Linked DNA regions of Rattus norvegicus. Each later gene encodes a partner of the first gene's protein in a complex. Links are inferred from orthologs where the notes say so. Each region holds a gene or a part of one and is shown in the gene's direction. Other genes may lie near its edges.

Region 1 (3,500 bases):
TTGAACATGATGCTCTTTAAGAACAGTCCACAACTGAGATTATGCAAACTAACCATGGTGTCTACATTTCTGGCTCACAATCTGCTTTCCTGTGAGTACATCTTCATAGGTCCTCTGTTAGCCAATAGTCTTAGTTTGAGATATCTGTGTCTCAGAAGGAGCATATGATCCTGGTGTTTGATATTTGGCAGCTAAGGTAAGAAGCAGAAAAGAGGACAGATACATCTAATAAGCCCGTTCCAAATGGTCATTCCGTTGATGTTCCTGGAATATGGTTGATTATTGGCTTTACCCCAAAGCCATTGTTCTAAGCATGGTGCATACTTAGAGTGATTGAAAGACAAGGTCTGAGTGACACAGGACCAGTTCCACATCTGTATTGAGGTTGGGGTTGTCTCCATAGGAAGGTGATGAAGATGTGTATGGGGAAGTCAGAGAAGAAGCTTCTGATGATGACATGGAAGGGGATGAAGCTGTTGTGCGCTGTACCCTCTCCGCTAATGTAAGTACAGTCCCTGTCTTGGTGTAGGCCAGCTTACTTCTGAATGAAGCACTTCCTCCTACTAAGACACTCACTGAGCTGTGGTTGGTTTTTCTGGGTGGGGGCCACTGCAGATTGAACCCAGCTTCAGACATGCTGGGCCAGTGCTCCACCATTGCGCTTGTCTCGTCGTTCTCAGCTTTGGGGCTGTTTGGAGTTTTGTTGTTGTTGCCCATGCAGGCATCAAACTTTGACGTCTTCCTCATCCTTCTTCTCAAGTGTTAGAATTACCAGCGTGGACCACTGTGCCTGCCAGATTTCCTTTCCATGGGTATTTGGGTTGTTTTTAAAATTTGATGTATAGATAACGTTGTAATGACAATATTAGAGTGGTTTGTTTATTTGTTTTTTAAGGTAGGGTTTCCCTGTGTAGTCCTGGCTGACCTGGAACTTGTTCTGTAGACCAGGCTGGCCTTGAATTCAGAGATCCACCTGACTTTGCCTCCCGAGTGGTGAGATTAAGGCATGCACCACCGCTACCTTGCTGAGTATTTTGTTTTTTGTTGTCCTGGGGTTGAACTTACTGTCTTGTACAAAGCGAATGCTCTAGCACTGAGTTATAGCACCAGGATTTAAAGAGACTAAAAAAAATTTTATTTTGAAAAAGGGTCTCACGGAGTTGCCAGGGCTGGACTTACCCTCTAGCTCATGCAGGTTGTGCAGCTCTGTCAACTCTGCCTTCTGAGTAGTGGGTAAATGTACAGACCTGTGCCAGTAGCTTGATGGGCAGCTCAGACTGGCCTCGGATTTGGAATCTGCTGCATCAGCCTCCTGAGGGCTGGAATTGCAGGTGTTCCACCAAGCCCAGTCGAGCCTTATTAAACAGTGAGCATTTGATTTTCTTAGGACGTTAGTTGTTACTCTTCCCAAAGACACGTGTTAATGAAATCTTAGTCTGGTGTGCTCCTGAGTTCAGTGTACTAGAGCTGCTGCTTTCTGGAAAGACCTTAGAACGTAGCCTATGGGTTGACAGGAACCTTGGGTGGAGCATGATAAAGAGACCCAGTGAGCCACATGCCTGATTTCCTTCTTAGCTTGTAGCCTCAGGCGAACTGATGAGTTCTAAGAAGAAGGATTTGCACCCTCGGGATATTGACGCGTTCTGGCTGCAGCGACAGCTCAGTCGTTTCTATGATGATGCCATTGTGTCGCAGAAGAAGGCAGATGAGGTGTTGGAGATTTTGAAGGTATGGCCAAGTAGTACTTGTGTTCCATGTGTCTCAGAAAAGGTCAGTGTTTGGGAGGCGGCTGTGCTTAGTGTAGTGCTGCCACTGCAGGGGCAGTGTCTGAGGTAGCAGGTGGCTGTATCCTTACTGGTGGCCTTATTTTCTCTCTCCAGACAGCAAGTGATGACCGAGAATGTGAGAACCAGCTGGTTCTGCTCCTTGGCTTCAACACTTTTGACTTCATCAAAGTGTTGCGGCAGCACAGGATGATGAGTGAGTAGACTATGCACTGGTTCGCTCCGTGTGCATATGTGCGTGCGTGCGTGCGTGCGAGCATGTCTGCTAGCATGTTTGCTAGCATGTCTGCTGAATTGCGTTGCTTCTCTGGCTTCAGTATCTAATTACCTTCTATTTGCTCAGGAATAAAAGTTGGTTTTATTTCACTCTCTGCCACTTTCTCTCTCTCCCTATTGTGTTTGGCAGTTTTATACTGTACCTTATTGGCCAGTGCTCAGAGTGAAGCTGAAAAGGAGAGGATCATGGGAAAGATGGAAGCTGATCCAGAGCTTTCCAAATTCCTCTATCAGCTCCATGAAACTGAGAAGGAAGACCTGATCAGGGTAAGGAAGACCTGATCATGGTTTAGTCTGTCTGTCTCGTTTCTCTTTCAGTGTGTGAGGTAATAAATCATATCTCTCTGTTCTTTGGAGTTTGTCAGGGTGCAGATTAGAATCAGCACACTCGTTGCTGTGGTTGAGGCACTGTCTTCATCTAGTACCATGGGATCTGTTTACTACAACCAGGGAAAAGGGCGTGTTTGTTTAATATAGAACACCTTTTCTCCCTGCCTTCGGTAGTTAATTGAAGACTGTCTACTTCTGACATCCCTCTTCAGACCACTGCATCGTCACTGTATTTGCCATCTCTGACTGATTTATTTATTTATTTTTATAATCTCTGGCAGGTCTCAGAATACAAAGTGATGTCTTTTGGTTTGGGAATACATGATATAGCATCCATGAATGAAGCCCAACCCAGAAGGGACTGGAAAGGACAAGAGCCCAGGAGATTGATATAGATGATTGTGCTTTTTCTTTTTCCCTGCTGCAGGAAGAAAGGTCCCGGAGAGAGAGAGTCCGTCAGTCCCGAATGGACACAGATCTGGAAACCATGGATTTGGACCAGGGTGGAGAGGTGAGTGCCGGGCTGTTCCCAGGCCGTGGTGACTGTGAAGCTCAACTGCTCAGCCTGTTTCTGTTTTACCTGTTTCCAGGCTCTGGCTCCGAGGCAGGTTCTGGATTTGGAGGACCTTGTTTTTACTCAAGGAAGCCACTTCATGGCCAATAAGCGCTGCCAGCTTCCCGACGGGTCTTTCCGACGCCAGCGTAAGGGCTATGAAGAGGTGCACGTGCCTGCTTTGAAGCCCAAGCCCTTTGGCTCAGAAGAAGTGAGTGAATCACCTTTTCCTTTCTCTGCTTCTCTCTTTCAGTTTGGCTTTTAGTCATTAGCTAAAATGTCACCATGTCTCAGATAATTTATTCTAGTAGTGGTAACTGTTTCAAAGTTTTCCCATTCTAAGACCAGGAAGCAATAATGATCTCTCTGGACAGGTTTATAATGGAGAATTATGAATGGTGATTGTCAGGGAATGAAGTCATGGGGAAATCAAAGTGAAATCATAGTAATCTTATAAGGATGGGCAACCTGCTGAAGAATCCAGTTGCATAAAGTATGGGATGTTTCTTCCCTTAGCAACTGCTCCCAGTGGAGAAGCTGCCAAAGTATGCCCAGGC
Region 2 (3,658 bases), on another chromosome or scaffold:
CATGCTAATGGGACTGCCAGACCTCTTCCTGTGCCAGTGGTGTCAGAGACCTGGCTCGTCAGCTCTGAACTTTGCCAGGTACAGGGTGAGCAGGTCCAATAGAGCCTGTGGAACACAGTGGGTGGGGAGGGCTGGGACCCTGGGAGCACTCCATGTTGAGTACTCCCTCACTTCTGTACCTCCCTGTACTGGGAGCTCAATGCTGACCTAACACCAGCCTTGACCTCATTTCCACTCATCTGTTGGGAATGCCAGGTCGGCTGAGTCGGGTAGGAGGAGCCACAAGGCAGGGGAATCCAGCACAGAATGTTGGGGATAAACTGCAAGAACACTTTCCTTTTGAGGGACAAGACAGTAAAGGTTAGACCATTACCCCATCTCAGGTATCTAGGTGTTGGAAATATTCCACTGAGCTGGATGGTTCTAGCTTGTGTCTCAAGAAATAAAAGGCAGTCCGCTGAGCTCACCCCTGTGAACTGAGGATCAGGCTAAAGCAACCTCCTGGACACAAGGGGCAACCACCACTGTCTTTCTCTTTGACTCCTGTCTGCACCCCTCCCCCAGGCTGCTGGGTTAATTGGCCACTAGAGAGGAGAAGTCCTGGCTAAGATTCAGGTCCCAGCAGTAGGCTGATTTGTCGGTGAACCCCAAGCTTGTACTAGGGCATTCTAGGTCTCAGCCACCTCCACCCACCACGCCAGGGCAACCTGTTCCATGCTTGGCTGGCTTCTGAGGGAACCTTTATATTCTATGTTGTGAGGCCCATGGGCACCAGGCCAAGGCTGTTGGAAGCCTGTTGCACAGCTTCAAGAACATAGTAAAGGAGGAGAGAATGCAGCAGCCCAGTGGATCCTCAGACTCTGGTGTCTAAGGATGCAAGAAAACAGTCCCAGGCCTGGAGGAGGATTATGTGTGGCCTTGAATAGTAGGGTCAGCGTCCAGCACCTAAAGCGTCCGTCCGTGCCTGTGTCAGGAAGCACAGACAGGCAGTGCCCACGGTAACGGCCTCGAATCTATGAAGCCCCAACCAACCCATTACAAGGACCACCACGTCTCTATACGCCAAGAGCCAACCAGGACCTTGGTCCCGCCCAACTCCAGAAAGCCAACAAAGCACAAGACCCGCACCACTTCCGCCCAGGGCCGGAAGTGTCTGGGAAACTGGTTGTAGCTCGCAGTGCGTAGTGACGCACTTCCTCGTGTCGGACCCGGCCCAGGTGGCTTCCGACGGACGACGCTAGAAGCCTCAACCCTTTGCGATTGGCAGTTAACCCTAGAGTATTGTGGGAATCACGGCTCCGCCTTTTCCCCTTTCGTCATTTCTGGGTGGATTTCCGTGTGCGCTCCGGTCTTCGGGATGGCACACATGTTACAAGTCCCGGCAGGCATTAGGCAGTGACCCCATTGCCTTCTGGGAGTTGTAGTTTCTCGGGCGCTGAAGCCACAATATTCTGATAGCCCGAGACTCGGTTTCCCAGGAATCCAAGCGAGATTGAACAGGCCGGAATCCCGTGGAACTGGCGGGACGCTGCGGGAAAGGTGGCAGGTTATTGAAGCGTGTACGGATGCTGGAACGGTGAGCACTGGCCTCCCTAGGGCCGCGACCAGGCCAGTACCGTGCCTGTTTCTGCCACCTCCCCCTCCGGACCCCGGGTGGTGCCTTCAGTGTGTGCCCAGAGAGGCTGCGCTTTGCTAAGAGCTCGTGATGGGACGAGCCGCTGATGGAGATCCCCTGTCACCAGCATCTCCCAGCGCTCATCTATTGTATGTCCACACTGTTATGATCTCATGGTTGACTCTCTCCTTAACCCCACCTAACCTGCAGCTCCACATCTGTGCACGCTAGGATACCCTTTAGCCACCCAGCTTCGCGAGGCCTCCGGTCCGGTTGTGAGTAGAGGCGCCTGGCACACAGTGGAGGTGAAAGAGCCCGGGAGGGCGGGGAGGGGTGCGGCATTAGGTACACCCCTCACGGCAGAACTGGGACTGCCTTGCTACAGGTGGGACGGATGTCAGGTCTTATGGCGGAGACAGAGGCCGGCTTGGAGGTTGAGGAACCCACCGAGGATGACACCCTGCCTTCTGACACCGTCTCCCTCAGCGACTCGGACTCTGACCTCAGCTTACCTAGTGGTGTGGAGGTCCAAGCGTTGTCCCCAGAGAGGCTTTCTGGGGAGAGCCAGGAGGACTCGGGCCCTGATGACCCTCCCTCGCACCCCACGGGCATTCCCACCACTGCAGTGCAGCCGTTCCACCTCCGAGGCATGAGCTCCACTTTCTCCCAGCGGAGCCACAGCATCTTTGATTGTCTGGAGAGTGCAGCCCGGCAGGAACCGTGCTCTGCTCCCCAAACCAGTGTGGTTGACAATTGCAGCTTCAAGCGGCCTGTGGCTCCCCCAAGTCAGACTCCAGCAAGAAGCTTGAGCAGAGTGCATGGGAACACTGACCCGACCAGGGTACACCCTGTCCCTGACTATGTGTCACACCCTGAGCGTTGGACCAAATACAGTCTGGAAGATGTGTCTGAAACCAGTGAGCAGAGCAATCGTGATGCTGCCCTGGCCTTCCTGAGCTCTCGAAGCCAGGCATCCCCCACAGACTATGTGCCCTTTTTCAACCAGGACCCCTCTAGCTGTGGGGAGGGAAGAGTGGTCTTCACCAAACCAGTGCGGGGCAGCGAGGCTAGGGCTGAGAGGAAGAGGGTCCTAAAGAAGGGGGTTGTGTCAGGTGCAGGGGGTGAGGCCTCAGTGGAGCTAGCCCATCTCGCCGGGCCTGAGGCTGAGGAATGGAGTGGCCACCAGGGACAGCCAGAGGTGGTAGTGCCTTCAGAAGCTGCCCGTCCTGAGTCCTCATCAGGCCCCATAGGTATGAAAACTGTTGGTTTCCATGGCAGCAAGAAGCGGAGCAGAGACCACTTCCGGAACAGGGATAGTAACCCGGAGGGGCCAGGGTCTGAGAGAGGACCCTCAGTTTGACTGCAGTGCCATCGCTCTACCTCCTCACCTGCCCAGTCCAGGTGGGACAGTGTGGGCTCTCTGTAGTAGGGATGTGTGGGCCTCAACTCTGGCAGAGACTGGGAATTGTGGGTCAGGGGACCTTGAAGGCCTTTGTGCCCCATTGTTTGGGGTGAATAATAAAGGTTTTGAGTATTTACTGAATTTCGTGAATTTTTCTCGGCCCCACTCAAGAGTTATGTCCAAACAGTCCTGGGCAGCTAACTACAGGACTGCATCTCTACCAGCCTCATCCTGCCTTCCCCGCTCTAGTGAGGACCGCTGTGAAGGTTTGCCATGGGCATTGATGTTTGTCACTGGTAACCTACCCAGAGGGAGTGGGCTCGTAGCTGTGTTCAGCCTTGTGCCCCTGATGGTACTGGATGAGCATAATATGGTCCCCCTGCCCCCCAGAAACCAGTGCAGCCCCAGCACTGGGCCCGCACAGACCACGGGTTCTAGGAAGAGGATAAGTTGTGAGCCAGCAAATGGTTGGTGTCCGGGCTGTATGTCTCCAGGACTTGTGACCTCTGTATAAGACACAGCTGATGCTAGATCCTTCAGCTGAAGCTGGGCCAGGGAGGAGGAGAAGGATGCACGAGTGAGTATTTCATGTGGAGGCCAGGGACTTGGACCAAGTTAGCCAGCCTGGCCTGCTAAGCACC
Region 3 (3,145 bases), on another chromosome or scaffold:
GGCTTTTCTTCTTGCTGCTGTTGGTGGGAGCCACTCTGCTCTTTAAGGCTCCTCTGTCTGAGTAAGACAGCATCCATTGTCTGTCACAGTGAGCTTTTCGCACAATCCTCTCCTTCTTAGAGGGGGGTTAGACTAGTGCGAGTTGGGTAATCACAGTGATCTCCTTTTAGAGCCAGCTACTGAGGAGCTTGGCCCGTGTCAGGAATGTCCTGTGCAGTGTCACAGCAGAGGTCCCAGGGACGGGCGGTATTTTAGGATTTTGTCTATTATCCTTGAGACTGTCCTTCCCTTAAAGCAAGCCAGGACCCTCTCCCAGGTCTCCAAGGACCCTAGAGACCCCACTCCTGGGACCAGCAGGTCACAGTCCTCATTGTCCAGATCACCCAGTCAGTTGCTCTGAGGTCTACAGCGTGACCCCTGCCCTGTGAAGTTGTTCCAGCTCAGAGGGATTGGGCAGAAACAGGGAGCCTCTTCCCCTTCCACCTCCAACACCCCACACCTGCACACACAGCACACAGGGCCAGACAAACTTTAATAAGGCTCAGTATTACACTCCTAGCTGCGTGCTCCCCCTGGGAAGGGATCTAACCAAGTCTCCTTCATGACTGATGCTTGCAGCTGAGCAGGTTGACCAGCTCTTTCAGCCACAGTGGGGGCCATTCTCTTCTTTCCACAGTCTTCTCTTCCTCCACAGTTGCTGCCTGCGAATGTTCTGGCCTTCAGCACTGTGCTATCTGAAGAAGCTGCGAGTTTAATTTTCTCACTAACAGTCCTGAGCCCACTCATCTCTGTCCTTTACGGACAGAAAGAAAACAGGCAGCATTTCCTTGTTTGGAAATCTCTTCTGCTAAAAAACAAGTTCAGTTAACAAGTTCTGCTTTCCATACAACTATAGGACACAGTAGTTCCTTCCCAGTGTGCAACCAAAGTCCCTTCCTCTTTGTGAGAAACAAGGCGCTCACTTCACATGGGAGAGAGGGACTAGCTTAGAGAGACAGCGACAGGCATGGGAGGAGGTTGGAGGAAGCAGTGTTGGTGTGTGGGTAGGGACAGCCGGTGTCTTTGAGGTCATTAGGACAGATAGTGGACTCAGAAAAGAAGACAAATTTCCTCCTTCTTCTGTGATCCAAAGTTCTAGAACAAGAGTCAAGAGTGGTCAGTTTATATCCCAGTGTACCTACCAGGTACACTGAGTACCTACCAGGTTTTACTCTTAGGACTGGGACAGAGTAAGAGAAGCCAGGCTCCTCTTTACAAAAACCCTTTGCAGAGATAAAACTGACTGAAGCCTGTCAGAATCACACAGGGTTCCCGGGTATACAAAGTACTAGTCATGTCCAGTGTGCTTACAGAGAGACTAAGCCATAGAGCCCAGTAGGGCTGCTGTGCATGTGGGTAGGAGGAGGTGTGGGTGTCCACCCCCTTCCTGGGCTAACTGAGGACATGGAATGCTCCCTGGGAGTGAATATTTGACATATGTCATGTCAAACTGACCTTTTCACTGCTCTCAGAACCAGTGGGGCGTGGTCATGGGCTATAGTGGAAGCCAGTGTGTGATTCCATAGAAGTGATCCCATAGTGTTAGACTAATAGAAACAGATCTTTAGAAACTTGAAAAAATTCATGCAAATTCAGTAGGGATTAATATCTTTATTCAGAAAGTACAAATGCAGGTTCCTAAGTGAGGGAAAGGCCTGTCCTCTGAAGGGTGAGTGGCTAAGGACTGTTTGCTTCTCAGTCACAGCATACCAGGTGGGCAAAGCCATCATTCTCAACCCACGGTTACAAAGCGTTTGGTGAATCTGTACCAAGTCCCTGTGCACAAAGCATGAGAAGGTCACAGGCTTTTTCAGGAAAATTAGAGCACCTCGGGAAAACTGCTTGTCTTTCAGAACGATACAGCTGTCTTTGACCTTTACAGTCCAAGATACGGATGCACAATTGCAGGGCACAGCGGTGCATGCCCTCAGTCTAGAACTCGGGAGCAGGGGCAATGGGGTCTCTGAGTTTGAGGCCAGCCCTATCTACAAAGTGAGTTCCAGGACAATCAGAGATATGTAGAGACCCTGTCTCAAAAGAACTAAATTATATATGTAAACAAATGCACAGAAAATCCAAGAAGAGTGCAGAGTTTTTCTATAGAAAATTATATTTAGTGTTTGTCTTTATTTTGTCTTGAACTGTGGACTCTCTGAGTGGTCTGTGCTCTTAAATGGCATTACAGGTGCTTAGGCCGCAGAGAGACCAGACGTGCGTGGGGCTCTCTGTGAGCATCGCTCTTCTCTTCTCTTTCAGAAACAAACACATCATGATTGATTTGGGCACTGGTAACAATAACAAGATCAACTGGGCCATGGAAGACAAGCAGGAAATGGTTGACATCATAGAGACCGTGTACCGTGGCGCCCGCAAAGGCCGAGGCCTGGTGGTGTCGCCCAAGGACTATTCCACAAAGTACAGATACTGAGCACTGACTCAGGCTGTGCACAGGACACTGGGAGCCTCTTCTGGCTAGACAGACTCTGCTCTCATAGCCTCGGGAAAGGGCCTGCAGCAGAACATGGCCTTAGGGCTGGAGGAGCCTTGAGATGAGTTACAGGGGCCTTAACTACCTGAAGCAAATAAACGTGAAGGAACAGTAGGAATCTGCCGTGTGCTTTACTGACTGTAAATGTCTTCACTCTCAGTGAAAGCGTTGTCTGTCCCATGAGGCTGTCAGGTTTTGCATCTTCAAGTGGTCGCTAGAGCTGTCAAGCAAATACCACAGATAGGGTGGCTTCCACAGACATTTCAGCTGTATGGTTTTCCAGGTCTGCACCTGAGGTGGCTGTGTTCTGGGTTCCATTTGAGGCGTGGGCTATCCATAGTAACCCCTTAGCTCTGGAGGTTATTAGCCGTCCTTGGTGAACCTTGGATTGAGAGTACATTATCCCAGTGTTTGCCATTTTCCTTACGAGTTGTGTATGTCATGTGTACGCATGTATATGCCAATCTCAAAATATTCATAGTTATAAGAATACCAGTCACATTGTCTGAGGGGCCCACCTCACTCTGACAACCTCATCTTAACCAATTACATATGATAATCACTTCAAATAAGGTCATGGTCTGAGATTCTGAGCTTAAAACATCAATATATTGATTT
Region 4 (3,118 bases), about 19 Mb from region 1:
GAGGTCTTAGAAACAGGACATTTACCAGCTTATAAGCAGCCCATAAAACATTGAAAGCAGAGGCTGCCGTGCTATGACGTGCGTAGGACGGTATCCATCTAGGTCATCACACATGTGTATATACAGATTTTTATTATATTTATTTATGGGAGGAGGGCTGTGTATGTGCCGTAGATCACTTTGGGAGGAGTGGGTTCTGTCCACCACGAGATTAAATACAAGGGCCATGCTTGACAGCTGGTACTGCCATTCCCTGAGCCGTTTCACCAGCCTCTTGGCGTGCTTTTAGTGTTGATAAATGCCATCTTTGCTTAAAACCAACAAACTGCATCCCTCCTCACCCTGAAATCTTACCATAGCTTAATTTAAATTAATTTTAAATATGCCTCTTAAACCAGATCTTTTTTTTTTTTTTTTTTTTTTTGGTTCTTTTTTTTTCCGGAGCTGGGGACCGAACCCAGGGCCTTGCGCTTCCTAGGTAAGCGCTCTACCACTGAGCTAAATCCCCAGCCCCTAAACCAGATCTTTTTGTGCTTGTGTTTTGTAGTTCACGTTTGCCAAAATGTGGTTATATTACGCACAGTTTGAAATAAGACAGAAAAATCTGCCATTTGCCAGAAGAGCTTTGGTAAGTAAAGAGGATTGGCATGTGTCAATGAGACTTATGAGGCAGTTCAGATCTTCATGCTTACGGTTTGTATGGTTCCTACCGAAAAGAAGCAACGAAGCCGGGTGTGGCCTCCCTGAACTACATAGCAAGACCCCATCTCAAAAAGGAAAAAAAAAAAAAAAAAAAAAAAGAATACAGCAGCGGGTGGAGCAGCAGAAATGTATCTAGTATATGTAGACTGGGATAACTCAGAGACCATGCTGGGCTTTGAGAATACGTGACTTCTCAGTGCTCATTTGAAGTGGGACATAGATGTGGCCCCTTCTACAGCCATTGAAGGAGACGGGGTAGAAGAAGGTGAACAGGATGTGGGGTGGTATTGGGAAAGGTCTTCTGGGCAAGGTACGACTGCTGCCTCAATCACAGCAGCATCAGTGGCGGACAAGAGACCTGCAGGAGATCAAGCCATCCTGCTAGAACTGGACAGGGTTCCTGGGACGCCACCTCCAGCAAGGGCTATGGACAGCTGGGGACTGCCGAGGGGACGCAGTCATTTGCTTCAGGGGTGTAGCTGATGCTGGGCTTCCCCTGTTCATGCAGGCAAAGTTACCTGTACTCAGTGTGACACGAAGGCGGGCAGAACGTGTTACAGGGGCGTGTAAGCGGGGAGTTAGGGGTGAATATGATCAAGGTACATTGTATATGTGACAAATGTGAACTTGTCAAGAGATACAAAGACAGCACTTAAGCCTGGTGCTGGTGGTGGTGCAGGCCTTCAATCCCGGTGCTTGAGAGGCACAAGCAGGCAAGTCTGAGTTCAAGGCCAGCCTTGTCTACAGAATGAGTTCCTAGACAACCAGAGCTACACAGAGAAACCCCGTCTTCAAAACAAAACAAAACACAAACAAAACAAAATCCAAGAAATGTCTATAGCTACCAGTTACTAGATCTATCCCCAGGTTAGTAGTCTGAATGCATCTTCCTTATAATTTGTCATAAAATGTCTCAGTAGGATAAATTACTATGTATACATACAATTGGTCTTCAGATTAATTATTTGCTTCCTATGGGTAGTAGTAAGTCAGGTTTTATTCAAAGGTTTGTATGTTTGACATCCGTATTTGTTAGGGGATCTGGGGAGGTATAAAATCCAGTAGTGTGTCATTCTGCAGTAGTGCCTGTAGCTGACGAGGCCCCAGTGTCTGTCATCTGAGTGCCTGGTGAGTGAGAACTGGATGATAGCAGAGCAACAGAAGGCCTGCCAGACTGACTCGAGCACAGGATAGCTTCTAGGACAGAGCCACAAGGACTGAGGTTGAACCGTGCATGAGTGTAACAGTGCTCTTGACCCTTTTATTCTCCAGGGAACTTCCATAGGCAAATGTCCCAAGAACAAGTTATTCAAAGGTTACATAGAACTGGAACTGCAGCTTCGAGAATTTGACAGATGCAGGAAGCTTTACGAAAAGTTTTTGGAATTTGGACCTGAAAATTGTACCTCGTGGATTAAGTTTGCAGAATTAGAAACAATCCTTGGTGATATTGAGAGAGCTCGGGCAATCTATGAATTAGCCATCAGCCAGCCACGCTTGGATATGCCAGAGGTGAGATCCCAAGTTGAATGTATTTTAGATAGTTCTCAAGTATCCCCTTAGCTAACCATGTAAACAAAGTATAAACATGACCCAGCTATTATAATATTATAGTCTTCCCACTCTGATTAGGACTCTGTTGAATAAGAAAGTGAAGAGGGGAGCGTCAGCAGCAATCCCCACACAGCTGACGGGGAAGGAAGGGTAAAGGGGACAAAAGGACAAGCCGGTAAGGAACCAGCTGTAGGCCTCACATCCGGAACACAGGAAATGGGGGTGGAGACTACATAGCTCTGCCCTTAGGGTAGTTTTGCCTAAAATATGATCTTCCTAGATTCTACTGCAGTCCTGGCCTGCCTTCAGTAAAGCCACAGAGAGCACTGAGCCACTGCCAGGACTGCCTGGAGCCTCACAGAAGCCACAGGACTGCCCTAGCCTCCAGTCAATCTTGTACTAACATGATCCTACATCAGGGCAGAGCTTCCTACACGGCTGATCTCACCTGTGGCTCAGTTCCTTTACTCTACTAGACTGACAGCTCCCTCATCCTTGCCCTTTTTTGTCCTTGTGACTATGGTGGGCAGTTCATGTTTTGAACTCAGGGCTGGAGAGATAGCTGCTCTTCCAGAGGCCCTGAGTTCAATTCCCAACAACCACGTGGTGGCTCACAAACATGTGATATGATGCCCTCTTCTGGCCTGCAGGTGTACACGCAGATTGAGCATTTGTATACATAAAATAAATAAATCTTTAATGTTTTTAACTCAAGTGACAAGAAACTGGTATTGGGGTAAGAACATACAGTGGCTAATTTGGCCTATTTTCTCCCTAAAAGTTAACTCATGGGCAGCATCATGAAAGTACCTGGAATTCTTGACAAGTTTTTTGGTTGTGTTAAACGTTTAAAAAGAAAATG
Region 5 (2,212 bases), on another chromosome or scaffold:
AACAACCTATGACTTGATTGCGTTCATTCTGCCTGTTTATACCCATTAGTGTTGTTGAGTTGTAGTGTGTTGTGTGTCTGAGCCACGGTTTATGCATCCTCCCGTTGATGGACATGTGGGCATGTTTCTAGGTTGTGGCCAGTCAAGATAAAACTACTGTAAACACCCTTTTTTCATGTTTTGTGTATGAGTTTTTTGCCTGCGTCCAGAAAAAGGGCATCAGATTAGAGTTACGCATGATTGTGAGCTGCTGTGTGGGTCCTGGGACTTGGGTCCTCTGGAATAACATCCTGTGCCATCTATAAATACCCTTATTGAAGCTTTTTGTAGATATAGTGGTTGTCTTTCCCTTGCTCTTAGATAGTTACAATATAATTGCTAGTTTGTGGAGTGGTGGTGTATAGAGTAGATGTATGTTAGCTTTTAAAGGATTTGGGCAAGCTGGATTCAGTGCCATATGCTTACAGTCCCAACACTCAGCACAAGGGCCTCACAACTGAGGCCAGTCTGGGCTTCATAGTGAGACGCTGTTCCCCAGAATAAAATCTTAGAAACAGCTGGGCTCCACCCACTCTGGTTTGTAGCTGTGTCGGTGTCTGCTGTTGCCAGTCGTACTGTTTTGCCCACAGTAGAGCACACAGTAATACCTCATGTCAGTGTCCCACCCTGATGGCGTTGCACTTATTTTGCCACATGCTCACACATCTTGCACATCTTTAGTGCAGGCTCCAATTGCTTTGCCCTTCCTGAGTTTATCTGTTCTGTATTTGTACTACCAAAACCTGTTTGCAACCATCCTTTAAGATTTTCATTAAAATTCCTTTTGCACCTTTAATGAGAACATTCTGATTGTACACATTCGGGTCTATTTCTAGATCTGCTCTATTTGTCCTTTCTTTCTTTAATGCCCAAATTTCAATTGAGTCTCCAGTAAATACACAAATGCCTGATGATGAGTGAAGGAGTGCAGCAGAGGAATGAGGGGGAGGCAGTGCCATCTTTGCTGGGCCATTCTTCAAGAAGTTTGTTTTTGTTTTGTGCTCGTGGCCGAACCCAGGGCCCTGCACATACCAGGCAAGACCTCCCTACTATTGAGCTCCAACCCCAATCCAGGGAATTTGTTTTTTAAAGAATACCCACTAAAGTACAGAATGTTCATGGTCTCCCAACTGTCAACTAAAACAGACTCTTGGACGGTGAGGCATTGCTCATGTCAGAAAGACCTACCTACCTTCCTTCCTTCCTTCCTTCCTTCTTTCCTTCCTTCCTCTCTCTCTCCTTCCTTCCTTCCTTTTCCTTCCCTTCTCTTCCCCTTCCTTCCTTACTTCCTTTCTTTCCTTTTTTTAGGATACAATTGCCCCGCCTTTAGATTTATTTAGTAGTGTTCTATGTGCATATATGCCTGCACACCAGAAGAGGGCACCAGATTTTATTATAGATGGTTGTGAGCCACTATGTGGTTGCTGGAAATCATGCTCAGGACCTTTGGAAGAGCAGTCTGCTTTTGTCCTCAGCCGTCCCCCTCCAGCCTGGCAGCTCTTGGTAGTATGGTTGACCAGCGGCGAGCTAAGCTATGGTTATCTATAGTTCCTTGTCATAGACACTTTTTTTTTTCTTTTTCTTTTTTTTCGGAGCTGGGGACCGAACCCAGGGCCTTGCATTTGCCAGGCAAGCACTCTACCACTGAGCTAAATCCCCAACCCCTTGTCATAGACACTTAATCTGCTGATTTATCGTTGGTATAATTTTGGTAAGTTGGAAAATTTATTCTTATTTATTTTTAAGTTATGACCGTTCATGGCGCTTATGGGATTTAGAGGCTCAAGAGGAGATTCTACACCAGGAAGGCCACAGCATGGGTGTGTATGACATTGCCTTCCATCAAGATGGCTCTTTGGCTGGCACTGGGTAAGATTTCCTCCACAAAGCAAGGGAAGGGCAGCTTAGTAGTCTCACCTCTTAGGCAACCCCGCTTTCTTGTCACACTGTATTCCATATGTTCACACAAATGTTGTCTCCTCAGGGGACTGGATGCCTTTGGCCGAGTTTGGGACCTACGCACAGGACGCTGCATTATGTTCCTAGAAGGCCATCTGAAGGAGATCTACGGGATAAGTTTCTCCCCCAATGGGTAAAGCAGACTCAGTGAGTGGGAAGGGTCCAGGTCAGACAGCACTCTATGTTTCTAACTGATGCATCTGATCCACAGCTA
Region 6 (2,886 bases), about 100 Mb from region 1:
AAAAAGAACCAAAAAAAAAAAAAAAAAAAAAAGAGACAATGGGGAGACTCTAGAAAGGAGGGCACCCTGACACAACCTTTGCACACCCAGGAACTTAACTACTATAAAAGTTTGCAAAAGAAAGCATGCATTTGGTCTGGAGAGATGGCTCAGCAGTTAAGAGCACTGACTGCTCTTCCAGAGGTCCTGAGTTGTAACTTGGCGTCAATGACCATGACCTGCTCCCTACTCTCAGGGTCAGTGAAGAGGAGGATCTGCACCTGGGGACATCTTTTTCTGCAGAGACCAACCGGAGGGATGAGGATGCAGACATGTAGGTACCCGTGAGTCCAGTTGTCTGTAAGTACTGTAACTCAGCCCCAGCCAGACATTCAGACATGTCTGGTCACAGGTGGCCTCTCTCATGTTTTCTTGGCTGTGTCCTCCCTACTTTTCAGGTTTGGGATCTGTAAAAGGTTTCAAAGGTGGTTTTCTGTTTGCATTGATAATTCCTGCCCTCTCTCCTACTTATATCCTCAGCCCTTGCCTTTCTTGATTAGTGATATTTCCTTAAAACACAAGGATTAGTATCATGGATTTATCAATCTTTTTCATCAAGGCCTTTAAAACATGGTACCAGAGTATCCTTACCAGAGTATCCCTTTCTTGAACCTTTCCCAACTAGGAATTCTTCCTCACTTTTCCTTTGTCTTGGTAAATCTGAGTTCACTTTGAGAAGGGGGTGAGGGGAGAGGGAGAAAAACATAATGCCATTTTTCCATATTCAAAGAACCTTTGATATGGTCACTCCAGGAGATCTAGTATCATAATCTCCAATGTACATTGGTGTTTCGAGTTGAAATTTTCAGAACTCAAATGCCTGTAGTTCTACACTAAGGAGACTAAGTTAGGAAGATCTCACATTTGTGATCAACTAGGTGAGACAATTGTGAGACTGTCTCAAGAACTCCCAGATATTTTTATTCTTAGTTTTTCCATGAACTGATAATATTTTCACTGAAGGCAGGTTGTTGACACGCATATTTAATCTCAACACTTGATAGCCACTGGCAGTTGTCTGTGAGTTTGAGACAAGCCTGGTCTACATGAGGAGAAGCTATCTCTGAATTTCCCCCACATTTGTAAAATGGCTAGCATTTTAGAACAATGACCAGTTCTCTTAACTCCTGCCAGCCCTCCTCCTAGTTTCTGGCCCAGCCCCTTCAAATGGTTCTCCCAACCGTTCTTCCCTCAGTTCTCAGTCGCTTAAACAGTCCCTTCCCCAGTTTTCCTAACTCAGCTCAGCTTCTATCTCAACTGTCTCCTCAGAATATCTTCTTCACCAGCTGCCTTCTCTTCTCACTTGCCAGCCCCATCCCCAGCCAGCCTTTTTATATCTTGTTTTGTTCCCAGAAATCCAAGAGGGAGCCAACACTGAAGGTCATAGGGTCTAGCAGTTCTAACACCTAAGAATTCTTAAAGGGGGCTAAAGAGATGGCTCAGTGGTTAAGAGCACTGGCTGCTCTTCCCGAGATCCTGAGTTCAATTCCCAGCAACCACATGGTGGCTCACAACCATCTGTAATAGGATCTGATGCCCTCTTCTGGTGTGTCTGACAGCTACAGTGACAGTGTACTCACATACTTAAAATAAATTCAGTCTTTAAAAAAAAGGAATTCTTAAAGGGACAGTTGACCGGCAACTGGGCATCCTTTAAAGGGGTGAGGCAGGTGCACAAGATAACACACATCGATTGGTGAAATGGGTCAGTGGGTAAAGATGTCTTTTGCCAGCCTCCAGGACTCACACAGTAGAGGGATAGAAGCAACTCCTCTGACTTCACATGTGTTGCGGTACACATGTTCTCACATATTCATAGATGACATAAAATTAAGTGTAAAACGTTTTCATTAAAAATGCTGATTAGCAGTTGCCTTGTTATGGCCATGCTGGCCCCTTAAGCCTGTATACCCCCTCACAGGATGAAGTACATTGAGACGGAGCTGAAGAAGAGGAAGGGGATTGTGGAGCAAGAGGAACAGAAGGCCAAGCCCAAGAATGCTGAGGACTGCCTCTATGAGCTGCCAGAGAATATCCGAGTCTCCTCTGCCAAGAAAACTGAGGAGATGCTGTCCAACCAGATGCTGAGTGGCATCCCTGAGGTGGACCTGGGCATAGAGTAAGTCTCCCAACCCTGGCTGTGCCCCCATGCCTGGGAAGGGCTGACGCTTTTCCAGTTCGTGGTTACACAGACAAGGCACAGAGCTCTTGCCCTAGCATTCCTCACACCCTGGGTTATGGGACATGGCTCAGCAAAATGCTTGTCATGCAAGCACGAGGACTTCAGTTTGACCCCCAGCACCCGTGCCAGAAATGGCAGGTGTATCAGGGCACGTGGGCAGCTGGAGATCAGAGAGCCTCTGGGCTCGTTGTTCAGCCAGCCTAGCCGATTAGTGAGCCTCGAAGAAATCCGCCGTGTGGCTCCTGAGGAACTACACTGAGGTTGTCCTCTGGCCTGCACGTGCACGCAGAAGCACACACATGCTCACAAAAGTTATGGAAATCCTGCTTGGTATCCATGGAAACCTATAGATATGCCCTCTCAGACAAGTTGTCTCCAGGGTTTTCTTGTCACTTGTGGTCCCTGTGGCTGAAGAGACTTAAGGGCATAAGTGTCTCCTTAGCCTCCACAGCCTCTCATTTCTAATGAGATCTCCTGCTCCCCTGTGTAAGAGGCTGGCCCACCCTCCTCTCTGAGGCCTAGAGGGAAACAGAGAGAGACCAGCAGCAGCCTTGCTGAAAGGGAAGTGTTAGGAGTCTTGTGGGTTCTGGTCTCTTTCCAGCCTGGCAAGAACCTTTGCACTTAAGCAGCCTGCTTCGTTTTCATGGGGGAATGATCTCTCTCTC
Region 7 (4,271 bases), on another chromosome or scaffold:
GGGGATTTAGCTCAGTGGTAGAGCGCTTACCTAGGAAGCGCAAGGCCCTGGGTTCGGTCCCCAGCTCCGGAAAAAAGAACCAAAAAAAAAAAAAAAAAAAAAAAAAAAGAAGAAGAGCCCTGGGTAGTGGCGCCCAGGGAGTCTCCTGGGGCAGAGGAACCGTACAAGTGAGCTCATCACTGACATTCTGCACCAGGCCTTCCAGAAGCTTGGTAAAACAGCTGTCCTGCTCGGGACAGCTCAGGGCAGAGCTCCGATTCCATCGCCAGTAGCCAAAGGAAATAAAAATAAATAGAAGGGCAGGGGAGTTGGATCCATGGGTAAAAAAGGCTGACTGGTGAAAAGGCTAGACTGATTCCATGACAGACTTCAAACTGGCAGTTAAGGAGAGTAGGCCTAAATCAGTTTCCAAGAACTGGGCAATTCCAGGCAAGTCCAGGCCTCAGAAGCTGCCCTGCCACCTGGCCTGAGGCAAGGACAATGGCTGGGTCAACAGCAGTTTCCAGACTTCCTCAGCAGCAGTTTCCAGCCCTCCCCAGTAAGTTTCCAGCCCCCACACCCCAGTAATGGAATGTCTGTAGAGATGGACCCAACAGATTAACATAGAGGTCACCTACCCCAGAATTCCCTAATGTGCTTTAAATCAGACTTCCAAGTTCACTTGGGTGTCTATTCTGGTAATGGGAGACCACAGCATGCTGGACTTCTGCAGAATAAAACATTCATTGCCTTTACATACTATTTGAATCCACGGTATCATTCTTCGGTGGCGAATCATGGACCCTAACACTGGGCAAGCATGAGAACCTAACTTTGTATCTCAAGACGACAGATTAAAACACACCTGCAATCCCAGCACCAAGATCTCAGGAAGTTTGAGACCAGCCTGGTCAACACTGAGTGTTCCAGGCCGGTTAGGGCTGCACAGAGAAACCCTAACCTCTTCCCAAAATGATAACGATTAAAAAAAAACAAAAACAAAAACAAAAAAACAAGGTGCTGGCTTGGTAGCCTACAGCGGCCATGCCAGCACTGAAGAAGTTGCGTACCAGGCTATTGCGAGTTCATGATCAGCTTCAGCTGCCACAAGAACCCATCTCAAAACACGAAAATTCCAGCGATTTGTTTCCTGTCGCCGGGGAACGCTGGCCCTGACGTTCGCGTTCAAGGATTATATTTGGATTGATAAAGAGAAAGAGCTCCATAAGGGCGAGGACGGAAAGATAGGAGCGCGAAGAGGGTATGAAGCGGGTTTCCCCAGCCCAGCGCGATTCACATGCATTAGCCAGTTTCGCCCACAGTGTGGCGCCGAACCAGTCAGGAGTGCACATCTGCGCAGGCGCCATTTCCCAACATACACCATGAGTGGGCATGAAGAGCACCGCGGCCTTTTGCGTCACTCCGGTGTCACGCTTTACGGCCGCTCCTCAATCCCACGGTGGGAATACGACGCGATACGCCGCCGCGTTATGTAGGCACCGCCTTATCCCGTTCCGATTGGATCGGTCCATTTAGTCACTCGCTGATTGGTTATAGTTTCTGCCAGTCTTTTTCAGGCTGGAGCGCGCGGTAGACTGCCGGTGGGAGTGCGAGTGGCTGTGCAGCGGCGGAAGTTATCTCTGCAGGGAAGATGGTGAGGGCCGCGAGGCGGCGGGGCGCGCGCTCAGGGTCTTCGGGCTGCTGAGAGATGGGGAAACCTGAGGCCGGAGGTGACCAGTGTCTCTCTAGGGTCCCAGTCCGCCACCGTTGCGGATTTATCTCTTGAATGGACAAGGTTTTTTGCGGCCGGAAGGACTATGATCGCTTCCGGAGCTTGTCACCGTTTTTGATAGGATTGCTGCGTTTCCGGGAAGTGGGCGGACCTAAGGGCTCACGTGGGTTCCATTGCCCACTTGATGCTTATCAAGTGTCTGACCTCAGCTGCCTACGCCTTTGGCCGAAAGTCCAACCCAGATTGAGGGATGTTTCTCTCCCTTGGACACATAGCAGGTCCTGCTCGGGAGGAAGGAAATTTTTTCTCCTAGTTCAGGCTCAGGCCTTCCCAGTTGTGGGACCTGACATGATGGAATAGAGGAGGCCAGGTTTCCCTGCTGCTCTATCGAGGGGCGCGTTGGCCCAAGTTGGGAGAGCTGGACATGCCCATCTCAGTTCTTGATGGTAGAATATTTGGTTTTGTTTTTTGGTTAGGCTTTCTGATCTGAACTTAACGTAATCCAGGCTAGCCTCAAACTCATCCTCTTGCTTCAATCAGTGGAGTATGGAAAGGACACGTGTATACCTCCATGTTTGGGTTAGGACGGGAGGCAGATCTCATATAGCCCAGGCTGCTTTTGAACTTCCTTTGTAATCACGTATGACTGAACTCCTGATCCTGCCTTTACTCCAGAGCGACCCTGGGTTTTGTGGTGCAGGACCTCAGGGCCTAACACATGCTGTGTAAGCACTCCCCACTAGGTGTACCCTGAGCCCCTGAGACTCCTTCAGTCTATTCCCACCATAAAGCACCCGCCCAGCCTCTGAGCCTCCCTGAAGGGATGGCCAGGTGTGTCCAGGACTGGACACCCTCTCCACGCAGGTACGCACAGACACTCCCATATCTCTGCGGCCCAGCTGGTACAGGAGTGTCCCAGCCGAAAGTTTCTGAATTCGGAGCCCAAGGCTTGATCCTCCAGCCGTCTCATCTACACGCTGGATCCCAGAGAGGCTGGAGGGTGGCTGAGAAGGAATTTCCTTTCCTGAAACTGCTCCTCTGATGGGAGGTGCTGGGACTGGAGCCCAGAGCCAGTGGCCATAACACCTGCAGGTGCAGGTGCTCAGTGTAAAGCTGTATCTCCCCACTCAAAAGCCTGTGACTATCCCAGCTCCACCCTCCCTGTCCACCCTGGCCCGTTTCACTCTGAGCTTTTTTTCCTTCGTTTTGGGAGGCCTGCCCAGCTGGAGCACGGACTAATTACTTCTCTATGAACCCCATTCCTTCCATTCCTCTGTATCCCACTGCATGCGCAGATCTGGGGGTGGCGGCCTGTCCCTACACCACACTTACCTGTGGCTCTGGACAGGATGCACCTGTGCTGGGTATCTCCACCCTGCCTGTTCAGCAAGTGTTTACTGCCCCTCCCTGCTGCAGGAGAGCCCGCGCCCACACTGACCTTCTGTCTAGCCAGGGAGACTGGTGCTGATCACCCTGTAATTAGAGAGCGGCCCCTGCTGTGGTGGGTGGAAACAGGCTGGCAGCCCAGGGTGGCCATTAGGGGCCTAGTCACAGGAGGGGACATGCTCAGCAGGATTGGGCAAAGAAAGTCTGGGGAAGGGCACCCTGGGAGGTGGCTGGGGCCCGGGCAGGAGGGACAAAAGCTCAGTAGTAGGCTGGACCTTACCATGGCTGCCTCACAGCCAGACTAGCCTGTGCTGGCCATAACAGCTCCAGAAGAGCTGTGTATGTGCGCCTGTTCTTGTTTAGTGATGTTTGCCCCTGAGCCTTTGCTGTGCCTTGTCTTCAGGAGTTTGACTGTTCTATTTGTTCCTTTATTGAAACAGGGTCTCATGTAGCCCAGGCTGACCTCACATTGTAGCCAAGGATGACCATGGCTCCAACTCCCTGGAGCTTAGCCACAGGCTGCCAGACTGTGCCTCTTTTTCACTGTTTATTTGAGGGTCAGACTGGACACCATTGTCACTGATCACCAAGGCCACCCTCCCACCACCCATTTTCACAGAAGCCATCCTCTGCCTCCTACCCTTTCAGGAAGTCTCTGCAGGAAATGGGCTCCAGCCTCACTTCCTGCCACTGAACCCCCACCCCCACCCCTAGCTCTTCTCAGGAAGGGCCCTGTGCTGCAGGCTCCCCCAGCCCTCTCGTGACCCAGAGTCACCAGGCTGGGCACGATGGCCCCGAGGATCTGAGTCCTTGATGTTTGTTTCTTCTGTTTTAAATGATTTATTTTTATTTCATGTGCATTGGTGTTTTGCCTGCGTGCATGTCTCTGTGAGTGTGTTGGTTCCCCTGGAACTGGAGTTATAGGCATTTGTGAGCTACCATGTGGGTGCTGGGAATTGAACCCAGGTCATCCAGAAGAGCAGCTGTGCTCTCAACCACTGAGCCCTGTCTCCAGCCCCTTGTGATATTGTTGTTGTTGTTGTTTGTTTGTTTGTTTTGCTGTGTGACCCAGTTACCCTGGAACTTAGATCCTCCTGCCTCTGCCCCTCAGTGCAAAAATTAAGTGCCTGGCTGTATTTTGATTTTTGGGTGAATTTTGGAGACATGTCTAATG

Evidence for each region.
Region 2: the proteins of Snrnp200 (region 1) and Tssc4 are in contact, whole or in part, in a cryo-EM structure (PDB 7PX3), measured with the Homo sapiens proteins. The link is inferred for Rattus norvegicus from reciprocal best matches to the Homo sapiens genes SNRNP200 and TSSC4. Residues at the interface, in NP_054733.2 of Homo sapiens: Arg1438, Arg1475, His1502, Lys1748, Gln1749, Val1752, Asp1753, Thr1756, Trp1757, Tyr1761, Arg1762, His1778, Leu1781, Ser1782, Asp1783, Leu1785, Ser1786, Glu1787, Val1789, Glu1790, Gln1791, Glu1807, Met1808, Asn1814, Met1817, Ile1818, Tyr1821, Tyr1822, Asp1928, Ser1931; in NP_001284587.1 of Homo sapiens: Val198, Ser199, Ser200, Phe201, Asn202, Gln203, Asp204, Pro205, Gly211, Arg212, Val213, Ile214, Phe215, Thr216, Lys217, Pro218, Arg220, Gly253, Pro254, Val255, Glu256, Leu257, Ala258, His259, Leu260, Ala261, Gly262, Gly303, Phe304, His305.
Region 3: Snrnp200 (region 1) and Txnl4a share a complex: the UniProt entries of both Homo sapiens proteins name them as parts of the U4/U6-U5 tri-snRNP complex. The link is inferred for Rattus norvegicus from reciprocal best matches to the Homo sapiens genes SNRNP200 and TXNL4A.
Region 4: Snrnp200 (region 1) and Crnkl1 share a complex: the UniProt entries of both Homo sapiens proteins name them as parts of the minor spliceosome. The link is inferred for Rattus norvegicus from reciprocal best matches to the Homo sapiens genes SNRNP200 and CRNKL1.
Region 5: Snrnp200 (region 1) and Prpf4 share a complex: the UniProt entries of both Homo sapiens proteins name them as parts of the U4/U6-U5 tri-snRNP complex. The link is inferred for Rattus norvegicus from reciprocal best matches to the Homo sapiens genes SNRNP200 and PRPF4.
Region 6: the proteins of Snrnp200 (region 1) and C3h9orf78 are in contact, whole or in part, in a cryo-EM structure (PDB 7OS2), measured with the Homo sapiens proteins. The link is inferred for Rattus norvegicus from reciprocal best matches to the Homo sapiens genes SNRNP200 and C9orf78. Residues at the interface, in NP_054733.2 of Homo sapiens: Val1188, His1189, Leu1190, Gln1191, Glu1201, Pro1283, Ser1285, Arg1287, His1288, Leu1289, Asp1729, His1730, Asn1769, Tyr1770, Asn1772, Gln1774, Gly1775, His1780, His1784, Leu1788, Gln1791, Asp1795, Gln1798, Ser1799, Tyr1826, Thr1827, Glu1830, Leu1831, Met1834, Ser1835; in NP_057604.1 of Homo sapiens: Arg5, Lys6, Ile7, Phe8, Arg9, Arg10, Arg11, Glu16, Ser17, Glu19, Glu21, Asp23, Ser24, Glu25, Val27, Arg28, Lys30, Leu31, Thr34, Arg35, Val37, Gln38, Arg41, Arg43, Pro44, Asn45, Gly46, Val47, Ser48, Ala49.
Region 7: Snrnp200 (region 1) and Lsm4 share a complex: the UniProt entries of both Homo sapiens proteins name them as parts of the U4/U6-U5 tri-snRNP complex. The link is inferred for Rattus norvegicus from reciprocal best matches to the Homo sapiens genes SNRNP200 and LSM4.

The regions. Positions count from the first base shown.
Region 1 is NC_086021.1:134,888,673-134,892,172, forward strand, and holds part of Snrnp200 (U5 small nuclear ribonucleoprotein 200 kDa helicase), read left to right. Parts: intron 1-403; coding exon 404-502; intron 503-1,575; coding exon 1,576-1,728; intron 1,729-1,880; coding exon 1,881-1,980; intron 1,981-2,190; coding exon 2,191-2,327; intron 2,328-2,817; coding exon 2,818-2,901; intron 2,902-2,980; coding exon 2,981-3,154; intron 3,155-3,459; coding exon 3,460-3,500. UniProt on the Homo sapiens protein: Catalyzes the ATP-dependent unwinding of U4/U6 RNA duplices, an essential step in the assembly of a catalytically active spliceosome. Plays a role in pre-mRNA splicing as a core component of precatalytic, catalytic and postcatalytic spliceosomal complexes.
Region 2 is NC_086019.1:207,681,087-207,684,744, forward strand, and holds Tssc4 (U5 small nuclear ribonucleoprotein TSSC4), read left to right. Parts: upstream 1-1,458; 5' UTR 1,459-1,576; intron 1,577-1,825; 5' UTR 1,826-1,890; exon of another isoform or gene 1,891-2,000; 5' UTR 2,001-2,009; coding exon 2,010-2,975; 3' UTR 2,976-3,158; downstream 3,159-3,658. UniProt on the Homo sapiens protein: Protein associated with the U5 snRNP, during its maturation and its post-splicing recycling and which is required for spliceosomal tri-snRNP complex assembly in the nucleus.
Region 3 is NC_086036.1:75,947,229-75,950,373, forward strand, and holds the end of Txnl4a (thioredoxin-like protein 4A), read left to right. Parts: intron 1-2,295; coding exon 2,296-2,467; 3' UTR 2,468-2,645; downstream 2,646-3,145. UniProt on the Homo sapiens protein: Plays a role in pre-mRNA splicing as component of the U5 snRNP and U4/U6-U5 tri-snRNP complexes that are involved in spliceosome assembly, and as component of the precatalytic spliceosome (spliceosome B complex).
Region 4 is NC_086021.1:153,794,497-153,797,614, reverse strand, and holds part of Crnkl1 (crooked neck-like protein 1), read left to right. Parts: intron 1-547; coding exon 548-628; intron 629-1,974; coding exon 1,975-2,214; intron 2,215-3,118. UniProt on the Homo sapiens protein: Involved in pre-mRNA splicing process. As a component of the minor spliceosome, involved in the splicing of U12-type introns in pre-mRNAs.
Region 5 is NC_086023.1:80,885,511-80,887,722, forward strand, and holds part of Prpf4 (U4/U6 small nuclear ribonucleoprotein Prp4), read left to right. Parts: intron 1-1,785; coding exon 1,786-1,908; intron 1,909-2,023; coding exon 2,024-2,131; intron 2,132-2,209; coding exon 2,210-2,212. UniProt on the Homo sapiens protein: Plays a role in pre-mRNA splicing as component of the U4/U6-U5 tri-snRNP complex that is involved in spliceosome assembly, and as component of the precatalytic spliceosome (spliceosome B complex).
Region 6 is NC_086021.1:34,664,397-34,667,282, reverse strand, and holds part of C3h9orf78 (telomere length and silencing protein 1 homolog), read left to right. Parts: intron 1-235; coding exon 236-313; intron 314-1,960; coding exon 1,961-2,158; intron 2,159-2,886. UniProt on the Homo sapiens protein: Plays a role in pre-mRNA splicing by promoting usage of the upstream 3'-splice site at alternative NAGNAG splice sites; these are sites featuring alternative acceptor motifs separated by only a few nucleotides. May also modulate exon inclusion events.
Region 7 is NC_086034.1:18,792,057-18,796,327, reverse strand, and holds the start of Lsm4 (U6 snRNA-associated Sm-like protein LSm4), read left to right. Parts: upstream 1-1,471; 5' UTR 1,472-1,546; coding exon of another isoform or gene 1,547-1,630; coding exon 1,631-1,633; intron 1,634-4,271. UniProt on the Homo sapiens protein: Plays a role in pre-mRNA splicing as component of the U4/U6-U5 tri-snRNP complex that is involved in spliceosome assembly, and as component of the precatalytic spliceosome (spliceosome B complex).